2 linked regions of the Arabidopsis thaliana genome follow. The protein of the gene in region 2 interacts with the protein of the main gene of each other region in a pairwise test. Each region holds a gene or a part of one and is shown on either strand. Other genes may lie near its edges.

Region 1 (3,117 bases), on a different chromosome or scaffold from region 2:
ACTTCCCAAGCATGCCTGCTGTTGAGGTCTTGTCTGGTGGTTCTTCATCTACTACAAAAGACGTGCCAGTTCCTCTTCAGGAGGATATAGAAAAGAATGACGTGGAGATAACCATGCTCAAGGAGCTCGAGGAAATGGGTTTCAAGGAGATAGATTTGAACAAGGAGATCTTGAGGGATAACGAGTACAACCTGGAGCAGTCTGTTGATGCTCTTTGTGGAGTTAGCGAGTGGGATCCAATCCTAGAGGAGCTTCAGGAGATGGTAAGTGTGTCTGCACTTGGTGAATTTATTAAATCTTACTTTGCAGATTGGAATGTTGAAAATATTGTGATTTTGCAGGGCTTCTGTGATGATGTGACGAACAAGAGACTGCTGAAGAAGAACAATGGAAGCATCAAAGGCGTGGTAATGGATCTCCTCACAGGGGAGAAGGAGGCTTGATGAGCTCTTTGGTTTCTGGCAACTCTTCTCTATCTCTCTTATCTATCAGGAATAATTATGTTTTATAAATAAAACCTGATCTCTTAGTTTGGTTTCGTGCTGCGTCACATGGTCTGTTCCTTTGCTTTGTGTTGGGATGATGTTACTATGTTAACTCTATCTAAGACATGGATGGTTTCTTTCTTATTTCAGTTTAGTTTATGTCGTTCTGCTCCTCGGGTCAAATGAATGGTTGAGTCTTTTTTATTGATTTCATCACTTTAGGCCTTTTTGGTCTCCATTTCTCAGCTGTATTTGGCTTAATGTGAGTTTGTGAGAAGAGCTTTCCTTGAAACAACGTACTGTTTTAATTCACATTTACCCTCTCATCTCTCTCAATCAGGTGACATTTTCACGTGGTCGAATCATCGGCATGGCAGTTGCAATTAGTCATGGTGGTCGGCTTCATTAAACTGTTTACAACTGACAAAACTTTGTTATTCTATCCATAGAAACCATTCAAAAACCAATAAAAGTTTTTGAATAGACCAATAAAAGACATTCATAATTGATTTCACTTTTTGAGAAAAATTTACAAGTTTGAAGTAGTAACATGATGAGTTTGTTAGAATCTCTTTGAAGACGAACGAGTGAACAAACTCCTAAGGCTGTTTCTGCTGTCTCTAGTTTTCTTCTTCTTCATCTTCTTGAGGCCATCATTATCTGAAGAAGAGAAGGTTTGTTCTTCTAAAGTGAGTTCGCGTTCCAGTTTCTTAGAGACCGAAAGAATCTCGTAGGGATCCCACAGCGACTGTCCGAATTCCCAATCCAAAAACGACGGATGATGCTTTGCGGACAAGGCTTCCGTTTTGAAACGTGATGCCTTCCCTTTGACAAAAGCATGCTTTCTCTGCGCATCGAACTCTAAAACAGTATGTTTTGAGGTTTGGGAGTGGCTGAGCCAAGCCTGCGCAGCTGCCTTCATCAACTCTAGTCTCTTCTTCTTCTCCTCTTCTTCTTCTTCATTTTCATCTTTAGCCTCTCGTTTCTTCCTCATCTCTCTTCTTCTTCTTCTCCATTTTGGGACTTTTGGGGATCCAAGTCTTATTATGTAAGGTTTAATGTCAGCCTTAAGTTTCTTGTTCGAATCTACTCACTTCTGTCTTGTCTTCTGTCTTGTCTCTTCCTTTTCATCTTTCTTTGTTTATTATTTATTTTCATGCCTCGTTTTTTCTTAGCCTTTAGATTTTCAGATGACAAAAACAAAAATAAAAAAAAAACAGATCAGATGACTTGGTTGCTGACAATTGTTCATTATCAATTTATCATCGATTCGTTTATTGTCAACAATTTAGAGATGTTAAAGATGGTAATAACCCATTGGGCATCTGAAGCCCATGTTTAATACTCAACCCGTGATCTGCGTTTCTTTATCACAAAATAATAAAATGAGCATTTTCCCCTTCATCATAGCTGTAGATGATGAAGTGATGTTTAATCAACAATTAGCATAACATTTTTCTGAACAACACAACTTCATTGTTATTTGTTTATGACCTCACAAAAATGGTCATTCAGGTTGTTCAGACTTCTCTCTCTTAGCTGTTTCTATCATTGTACACAAGAAATTACTTGGATCATGGCTATATGGATCTGCAAGTGCTGCGTGCGCTAAAAACGGAAGCTTCCTCAATGATCTCCCACTTAAACCCTGTACATCAAGAAGTTGATCCCAATTCATACTTGCTTTTTTTAAGAGTATTCTCAGTTTTATTTTCACTGACTCACTGCTCTACAATCAGTATAAAAGTATTCCCAAAGACTAACCTCGCACCCTTTTGCAGCTTCTATCAACTGTTTGCAGAACCAAGGAACTGTATTTGTATCATGAACCTCACTTTCACTTAACTTTTCTTTCAAACTTGAAAAGCTTGGAATAGAGAGTCCATCACAGCCCTATACCAAGATTTATGGAGCTTATAAGATATAATTGCTCCTCCTTCAGTGGTATTAACAGGAAAATATGGAATTCGAAACCTATATGATATGCTCTTATATAGTACCTGGAAACTTGATATGATCCCTTTACTTATTAATTCCTCAACACAAGACCTTAATATTTCATAACGAACATGAAGAGTTGGAGGGCCAACATAAGCTTTTATGTCAGCTCGATCCACGAAAGCAACATCTGCAACAAATATCTTGATCTGTGACATCTCACAAAACGTGAATATTATGCGGAAGAACAAAGATCTATTATATTAGAGAAAAAGTCATGAGGCTGAGGACAGGATCAAAATAGGCTACCAATAGCAGTAGTTATGTTTGATGTTGTAAGGATTATCACATTCGGTGCTGATTTCAATTTGTCCATTTGGGTGAGTAGTGCATTCACAACCTGCAACATATGAATAGGGGGATTTGGTTTTCAAGGGTTAAGAATTGATCTTTTCACAAATTCTAGGTGTATACGAAATTTAGAAGCTAGTTGGTCTACCCGGATAGAATCTGACGGTTCTGAGCCAGACAATGCAGCTTTTCGAGCAGCAGCAAGACTTTCTACTTCATCTGCAGGCAAAACAATCTCAGGCCTACACAAGAAATAAGCATGCAAATATAAAAAGTTATGAAAAAATCATAACTCACCGATCAAAACAAATACCAGATTTCCATCTTCCTCCACCATCTCTTG
Region 2 (7,426 bases):
AGACAGATTCTCTAAGGATTAAAGTCACAAAGTCAAGATGAATGGCTTACATGGTTTGAAACAGAATGGCTTACATGGCTTGGAGGAATTCGCTTTCCAGTTAGCAGATTCACAATGATATTTAGTACCAAATCAATGTCACACTTTTAGGGTTCACGATTCCTACAATAAGAATATATTATATAACATCACATTCAGATATGAATAGTATGAAGAGACAAGCAAGAACTGATTACCTCTTGTTCTTTGACTTCAACATATCCATTAAGCAAATAAAAACAGTTAAGCATACTTAATTAGATCATTAAGAAGGCATAAGCTTGAAAATGTTGTTTCGTATACCTTATCAAACAGAACCGAGTAAGCACTTAAGTTACCGTACGATAAAACATGTATTATTCCAATAATCCAATGCTTCTATTCGATTGTACGGGAAATTATTATATGTATCTTTGAAAACGCCTTGTATGCACCAAGATAAGGACATAAAATTTAGTTAAATCACACCGTTTTCATTACAAAAATGTGATATCATCTTATCATGGGCATATATATATATTTTACAGGTTTTTTTTTGCTCACACAAAAATTGTTCATACAATCAGTAATTACTTTACCTCAGGGTTTGGTCTCCTAGCTTTTGTACCCATCATACTCAATCACGAGATGGTTTGACATCACACGACTTACGCTATACATAACGATTAATGAACATAATTTAGTTTTTCTTTCTTTTGTCTCGGATCGATCAATGATATTGATCTTATATGATATCAAAATCTTATAGTACTGGCAGTGAGATTAAAAACACTAATTTTAAACGACATTATTGTTACATGTGTAGATAGGACCTGCCGTATTCAGACGAATAACAAATGACAAATCTAAGAAATAGAGGAAGAGAGAGAGAGAGAAAGAGACGTCGTGCGCATTTATAGTATAAAGTATAAACCTTTGATTATTATTGATACGTTATTTATGATTTACACGAGGATTCAACTATTTTCAAAGAGTTTGATGACCTTTGGTTTGGTCATGTCATTGTCCCGGACGCGGCTAATGGGGATCGGACTATGGCTCCCCAAATCATTGAGGGCCGTTTTGATCATTTAACTAAGCGTCTAAGCCCGACCCGTTGGATATCAATGTACATATTAATATATTATATACACAAATATTCAAGTTTAATCATTAAATTTGGTTGAATGATGAAACCTAAGATGAATGATTTGTTTCTTCTGTTCGCTTTTTTTTTTTGGGTTTGTTTTTATATCGATTTAGATAATGTGTAACATTGGGAAGTTCACAACCTGTCTAGTTAGCACCCAACTTATGACAGTAATTTTTGTCATGAAATTAATAAAATGACGACATTTTGGAACATAAATAGCAATTTCATGTGTAAGAATAAATATTACCATAATTGTGTGAATCATTATGCCTTTAATGCAATTATTTATATATCGATCATATATAGATTCCATCCTATATACAAAATGTTTTAAACTTTGAGACTCGAGCTGATGTCAGAAAGAATATTCATATAAGAGAAATCGAAAATAAAGTATTAAAGGTCAAACTATATTGATGAACGAACGAACCTGTTCAACACGAAAGACATGTCTTCTCTAAGAAATGATCTTGATCCGATTGATACAGCCAAGTTCTAACCAATGAAACATCCCCGAATAAAAAAACACAAAGTACCGACGAAGAAATAAAACAAAGTGTACGCATACGTAATCACCACAACTGTTATAGTAATAATAATAATAATCTTATACGAATTAATTATGATTAGGGGCAACAAAGAGGAGGTCAGAATAACACCAATCACACGATTAAATAAGAACATTTAACCATCAGGCTCCAAACCAAAACTTAGAAACTTGTTTTTTTTTTTTGTTTCCTTCTTTGATCTTTCTTTCAGAAGAAAAGATTGATTTAAATTTGAGAAACCAAGCGACTGTTTGTTTACTTTCTTTATTATTACAGATTTACAGGTACAGACAAAGTTGTATGTAAGTGTGATTAGAACAGTGGATGCTCTTATCACGGGTCCACTTGCTCTCTAAAAAGAATATTGAAGCTCATAATTACATCTTTAGAGACTAAAACAATCTTAATCATTCACCTTCACCAAGTACTTGTGTCCAGAAGAAAAAGAAGGAAAAAAAGAACACACCATTCAAGAAAGAGAGAAGCTTCTTGTGATAAGAAATTTCACAGGTTTTGTTTTTGTTTTGTTTATATATATTCTCAGATTTGATTTTGCTTACCATTATATGTATGAAGAAATAGAGAGACCAATTACTTTTTACATTAGACAGAGTAAAATCCAGTCTGTGCATCTTCTCAATGTTTTTTTTTTGTTTGTTGGTGCTTTCTCTAAGTGTTCTTGGGTATAGGTCCCAAAGTGAAGCTTTTTCTGTTTCTTTGTGCAAACAAATCTTGATAAAGTTAGTAACTTTTGGTGAAAATCTTACCCTTTCATGGACAATCAGATTTGATTTCGTTTCCATGTCCATAGGTGAGAATTTTGTAATTGAAATTGATGGCACTCTACTTTGATTGATGGATACCTTCTTAAGTCAACTCTTCATTGAAAGCGAAGCTACTTATATAGATTATATAGCATCTCTATGATATGATTCTTCTCTTGTCTTATTCTTGGGTGGGTCTTTGACAATGTTTCTGCAACTTTTTCAGATTGGGTTTTAACATTCCAAGGAGAGGACTTTGTCTTGTCTCTATTCATCTTCAAGACCCTTATGAGTTTCGGTTCTTGAGTAAACAACAGCTAAGCACAGTCTCTGAGAACTTGAGGATTTGGTAGTATCTGTTGGAGGTATAAAAACGAATCTTTAGACATGGAAGATGATGGTGGTAGTGATGGAGGCGAAGGAAATGGTGGGTTTTCACCTAATTCTAGCTTTGGGGCATTCGCTGACACTGCCATGGATTTGGATTTCATGGATGAACTCTTGTTTGATGGATGTTGGCTAGAGACAACAGATAGTAAGAGCTTGAAGCAGACAGAACAATCTCCTTCAGCTTCTACCGCCATGAATGACAATAGCCCTTTCCTCTGCTTTGGTGAGAATCCATCTCAAGATAATTTCTCTAATGAAGAAACAGAGAGAATGTTTCCTCAGGCTGAAAAGTTTCTCCTAGAAGAAGCTGAGGTGGGAAAAAGTTGGTGGATTGCTCCAAGTGCAAGTGAAGGCCCGTCTTCATCTGTGAAGGAGAGGCTACTACAAGCTATTAGTGGTCTTAACGAGGCGGTGCAAGATAAGGACTTCTTGGTTCAGATATGGGTGCCAATTCAGCAGGAAGGGAAGAGCTTTCTTACTACTTGGGCTCAGCCACATTTATTCAACCAAGAATACTCCAGCCTTGCAGAATACAGACATGTTTCAGAGACTTATAATTTCCCGGCTGATGAGGGTATGAAAGATTTTGTGGGTCTTCCCGGTCGTGTTTTCTTGCAGAAGTTTCCTGAGTGGACTCCTGATGTGCGTTTCTTTAGAAGAGATGAATATCCACGCATCAAAGAAGCACAAAAGTGTGATGTTCGTGGTTCACTTGCCCTTCCTGTTTTCGAAAGAGGTAGTGGGACTTGTTTGGGTGTTGTTGAGATCGTCACAACAACTCAGAAGATGAATTACCGGCAAGAACTTGAGAAGATGTGTAAAGCTCTTGAGGTTTTGCCTCTACCTCAAACTACTCTATAGATCCCGCAACGCTTACCTCACATGTTTAGACCCATACAACCAGTAAACCTCATGCTTGAATGTATCTTTCACTGGATGGCTTTCTCTGTTTGCTCATTATTCAATTCCTCACATTTGTCCAGTTTGTTTTTTGGTTTTCTTTAGAGTCCAACAACATCTTCTGCATACGTTTGTACTTTGATTGTTCTACATCTTTCTTTCTGCATCATGTCTCCTCCTGTCAGTCATTCAGCCATAATCTTCTTTGATTAATGTCTGTGATAACAGTGAGAAGTTTTGTTTATGTGCCACAACAGTCTAAAGACGCTGCTGTTTTGCAGGCCGTCGATCTAAGGAGTTCAAGTAACTTGAACACTCCAAGCTCTGAGGTGCATTAACTGGATTCTTAGTTCATTCAGCTCCTAGAAACAACGATATGCATTGCTAAGGTCATACTCCATGTTTCAGTTTCTGCAGGTCTATAGTGATTTCTACTGTGCTGCATTACCTGAAATAAAAGATTTCCTGGCCACAATCTGCAGATCATATGATTTTCCTCTAGCTTTGTCATGGGCGCCGTGTGCTCGGCAAGGGAAAGTTGGTTCCCGACATTCTGATGAGAACTTCTCTGAGTGTGTTTCAACAATCGATTCTGCTTGTTCTGTCCCCGACGAACAGAGCAAAAGTTTTTGGGAGGCATGCTCTGAACACCATCTGCTCCAGGGGGAAGGCATTGTTGGGAAAGCATTTGAAGCCACCAAACTCTTTTTTGTGCCCGAAGTGGCCACATTTAGCAAGACTAACTACCCCCTTGCACACCACGCCAAGATATCTGGACTACATGCTGCTTTAGCAGTTCCATTAAAGAGCAAATCTGGTTTGGTTGAGTTTGTGTTGGAATTTTTCTTTCCGAAAGCATGCCTTGACACTGAAGCGCAACAGGAAATGCTCAAGTCACTATGTGTGACACTGCAGCAAGATTTCAGGAGTTCAAATCTTTTCATCAAAGACCTAGAGTTAGAAGTCGTATTACCTGTAAGAGAGACAATGCTCTTCTCAGAAAACCTGCTATGTGGAGCAGAAACCGTAGAGTCGTTGACAGAAATTCAAATGCAAGAATCCTCATGGATCGCCCACATGATAAAGGCAAACGAGAAGGGTAAAGATGTATCACTTTCTTGGGAGTACCAGAAAGAAGATCCTAAAGAGCTCTCATCTGGCCGGGAGAACAGTCAGCTTGATCCAGTCCCCAATAATGTTCCTTTAGAAGCTGAGCAATTACAGCAAGCATCAACTCCAGGACTCAGAGTCGACATCGGTCCAAGCACAGAATCAGCTTCGACTGGTGGGGGAAATATGTTAAGCAGTAGGAGACCAGGGGAGAAAAAAAGAGCAAAAACAGAAAAGACCATTGGCTTGGAGGTTCTTCGACAATACTTTGCTGGAAGCCTCAAGGATGCAGCCAAGAGCATTGGTGGTAAGAGAATGTTGTACACTGCTGGTGACATAGCCCCATTCTTTATGAATTTTGATTCTTATTGTTTCTTGGGAAAAGCATAACCATTACGTTCATTAGTCAAAACCCAAAACATTCCAAATGAATATGTTGAACAAAAATTCATGCCTCAGGATATGTGAAAACTCCATGGCCAATATACATAAATATCAATGAAACCAGAAGTCAGTCTTACATTATATCTATGTGGTAGTGGATCAATCATCATGCTCTACAAACATTTTCATCATGGCTATTTATCTGTCTCTCAGACAGTGATCTGACAAGGTTTCGTTCTTGTGTTGCAGTTTGTCCAACTACCTTGAAAAGGATATGCAGGCAACATGGAATAATGCGATGGCCCTCCCGAAAAATCAAGAAGGTTGGGCATTCGTTGAAGAAACTCCAACTAGTTATGGACTCTGTCCAAGGTGCGCAGGGCTCTATCCAACTCGATTCATTCTATACAAGCTTCCCAGAGTTGAACTCCCCAAATATGTCTAGCAATGGCCCTTCCTTGAAGAGTAATGAACAGCCAAGTCATTTGAATGCTCAAACCGATAATGGTATTATGGCAGAGGAAAACCCCAGGTCACCATCATCTTCTTGCAGCAAGAGCTCTGGTTCAAGCAACAATAATGAGAATACTGGAAACATTCTAGTTGCTGAGGATGCTGATGCGGTGTTAAAGAGAGCTCATAGCGAAGCACAACTGCATAATGTGAATCAGGAGGAAACAAAATGTCTTGCAAGAACCCAGAGCCATAAAACATTCAAGGAGCCTCTTGTTCTTGATAATTCATCTCCATTAACAGGTAGTAGCAACACGAGTTTAAGAGCTAGAGGTGCCATCAAAGTGAAAGCGACATTTGGTGAGGCCAGAATACGGTTTACCTTACTCCCGAGTTGGGGCTTCGCAGAGCTGAAGCAAGAGATTGCTAGGCGTTTCAACATAGATGACATTTCCTGGTTTGACCTTAAGTACCTGGATGATGATAAGGAGTGGGTTCTTCTGACATGTGAAGCGGATCTCGTGGAATGCATTGACATATATAGATTAACACAGACCCACACAATTAAAATAAGTCTGAACGAAGCTTCTCAAGTCAAGCTAAGTGGTTCTTTTGGCAACACTGGTCTTTCCTGAAAAACATTAAACGAAGTTTTGTAACTGCAAAGCACCAGGAAGATTCTACTGATTTTTTTAGCTTTTGTAGAAATCTCACTTACCTTTTCAGCATGGGAATCCTGTATAAACATATTTCCAGTTCCCTGAACAACATTTTGGAAGTGGCAGTAGTAACTGGTCTCCTGTATTGCCCTAGCAGATTTTTGTATAAAAGAGATGAATTCCATAGACTTGTATTTTATGCATGTACAATCTTATTGTCTGGTTTCTTAAACTCTGCAAGACTGGAACTATGGCGATTGAAAAATTCTGTGTGTTTCGCTTATTTATTTTTGGGACATGTCTGGTTACAGGATACTATCTAGTCCATGATTGCATTGATGTACATGGAAAATAATGTGCCGGGATTCAAGAATATCCATTTCATGATATTGATTATGAGATTAAACATTTAAAACTGATATTGTAAAAACAGGAAAAAATAATCTGTATGGCTATGTTTAAGAAGAAACCTAGTTCCAATTAAGCAGCTAACACTTGGTGGTCTTCCACGTTTTATAAAACTTAGTCTCTTTGTATCCCCACTACAAACTCCTACTGTTCCAGAACCAGAAAATGTGCCGACAGAAAGCACAAGAAAGCTTACATTTTCTCCAATAATGTAGATTGTGTTCCTCCCACCCAAAATTCAAAGTTGGGCTCAAATTCTTTATGAAAGCAGGCAGCTCTTATGTTTAAACGTCGTTCTAACAAGGATATATTTGTCCAGCCATGTCGTCTTGTCTGGTTCTACCAGCTTAGCTACAAAGACAGGAAAACAGAAGGTGAGGGTCCAATTCTAAAATATTTTTCCACTGAACATGAAGGTTATTAAAAATAGATTGGATTCCTCAACATTATCCGTGATACTTTTACCAGAGAGTTATATTTAGCTTCGTTAGAGATCTCTCAACCTTGTACATCACAAGCTACTATAAGGCTAACATCTTACACATGAGCATGGAGACAATGATCAAAAGAGTATGCCACAAGATCATTATTTGATTATAAAATTAAATACTACTGTCCAAAGTAGGAAGAAAATGAAGA

Evidence for each region.
Region 1: the proteins of AT2G17150 (region 2) and AT4G24700 interact in a two-hybrid assay, tested with the Arabidopsis thaliana proteins (one large-scale study listed by BioGRID).

Annotation. Positions count from the first base shown.
Region 1 is NC_003075.7:12,743,760-12,746,876, forward strand, and holds AT4G24700 (uncharacterized protein), read right to left. Parts: upstream 1,594-3,117; 5' UTR 1,480-1,593; coding exon 1,048-1,479; 3' UTR 811-1,047; downstream 1-810. Other genes in the region: NBR1 (ubiquitin-associated (UBA)/TS-N domain-containing protein / octicosapeptide/Phox/Bemp1 (PB1) domain-containing protein), read left to right, coding at 1-263, 342-443; AT4G24710 (pachytene checkpoint-like protein), read right to left, coding at 1,993-2,133, 2,250-2,378, 2,486-2,613, 2,733-2,823, 2,923-2,993, 3,072-3,117.
Region 2 is NC_003071.7:7,465,978-7,473,403, reverse strand, and holds AT2G17150 (Plant regulator RWP-RK family protein), read left to right. Parts: upstream 1-1,817; 5' UTR 1,818-2,229; exon of another isoform or gene 2,230-2,530; intron 2,531-2,709; 5' UTR 2,710-2,870; coding exon 2,871-3,704; exon of another isoform or gene 3,705-3,985; coding exon of another isoform or gene 3,986-4,054; coding exon 4,055-4,102; intron 4,103-4,181; coding exon 4,182-5,190; coding exon of another isoform or gene 5,191-5,273; exon of another isoform or gene 5,274-5,516; coding exon 5,517-6,355; 3' UTR 6,356-6,717; downstream 6,718-7,426. Other genes in the region: AT2G17160 (Interleukin-1 receptor-associated kinase 4 protein), read right to left, coding at 618-650. UniProt on the Arabidopsis thaliana protein: Probable transcription factor.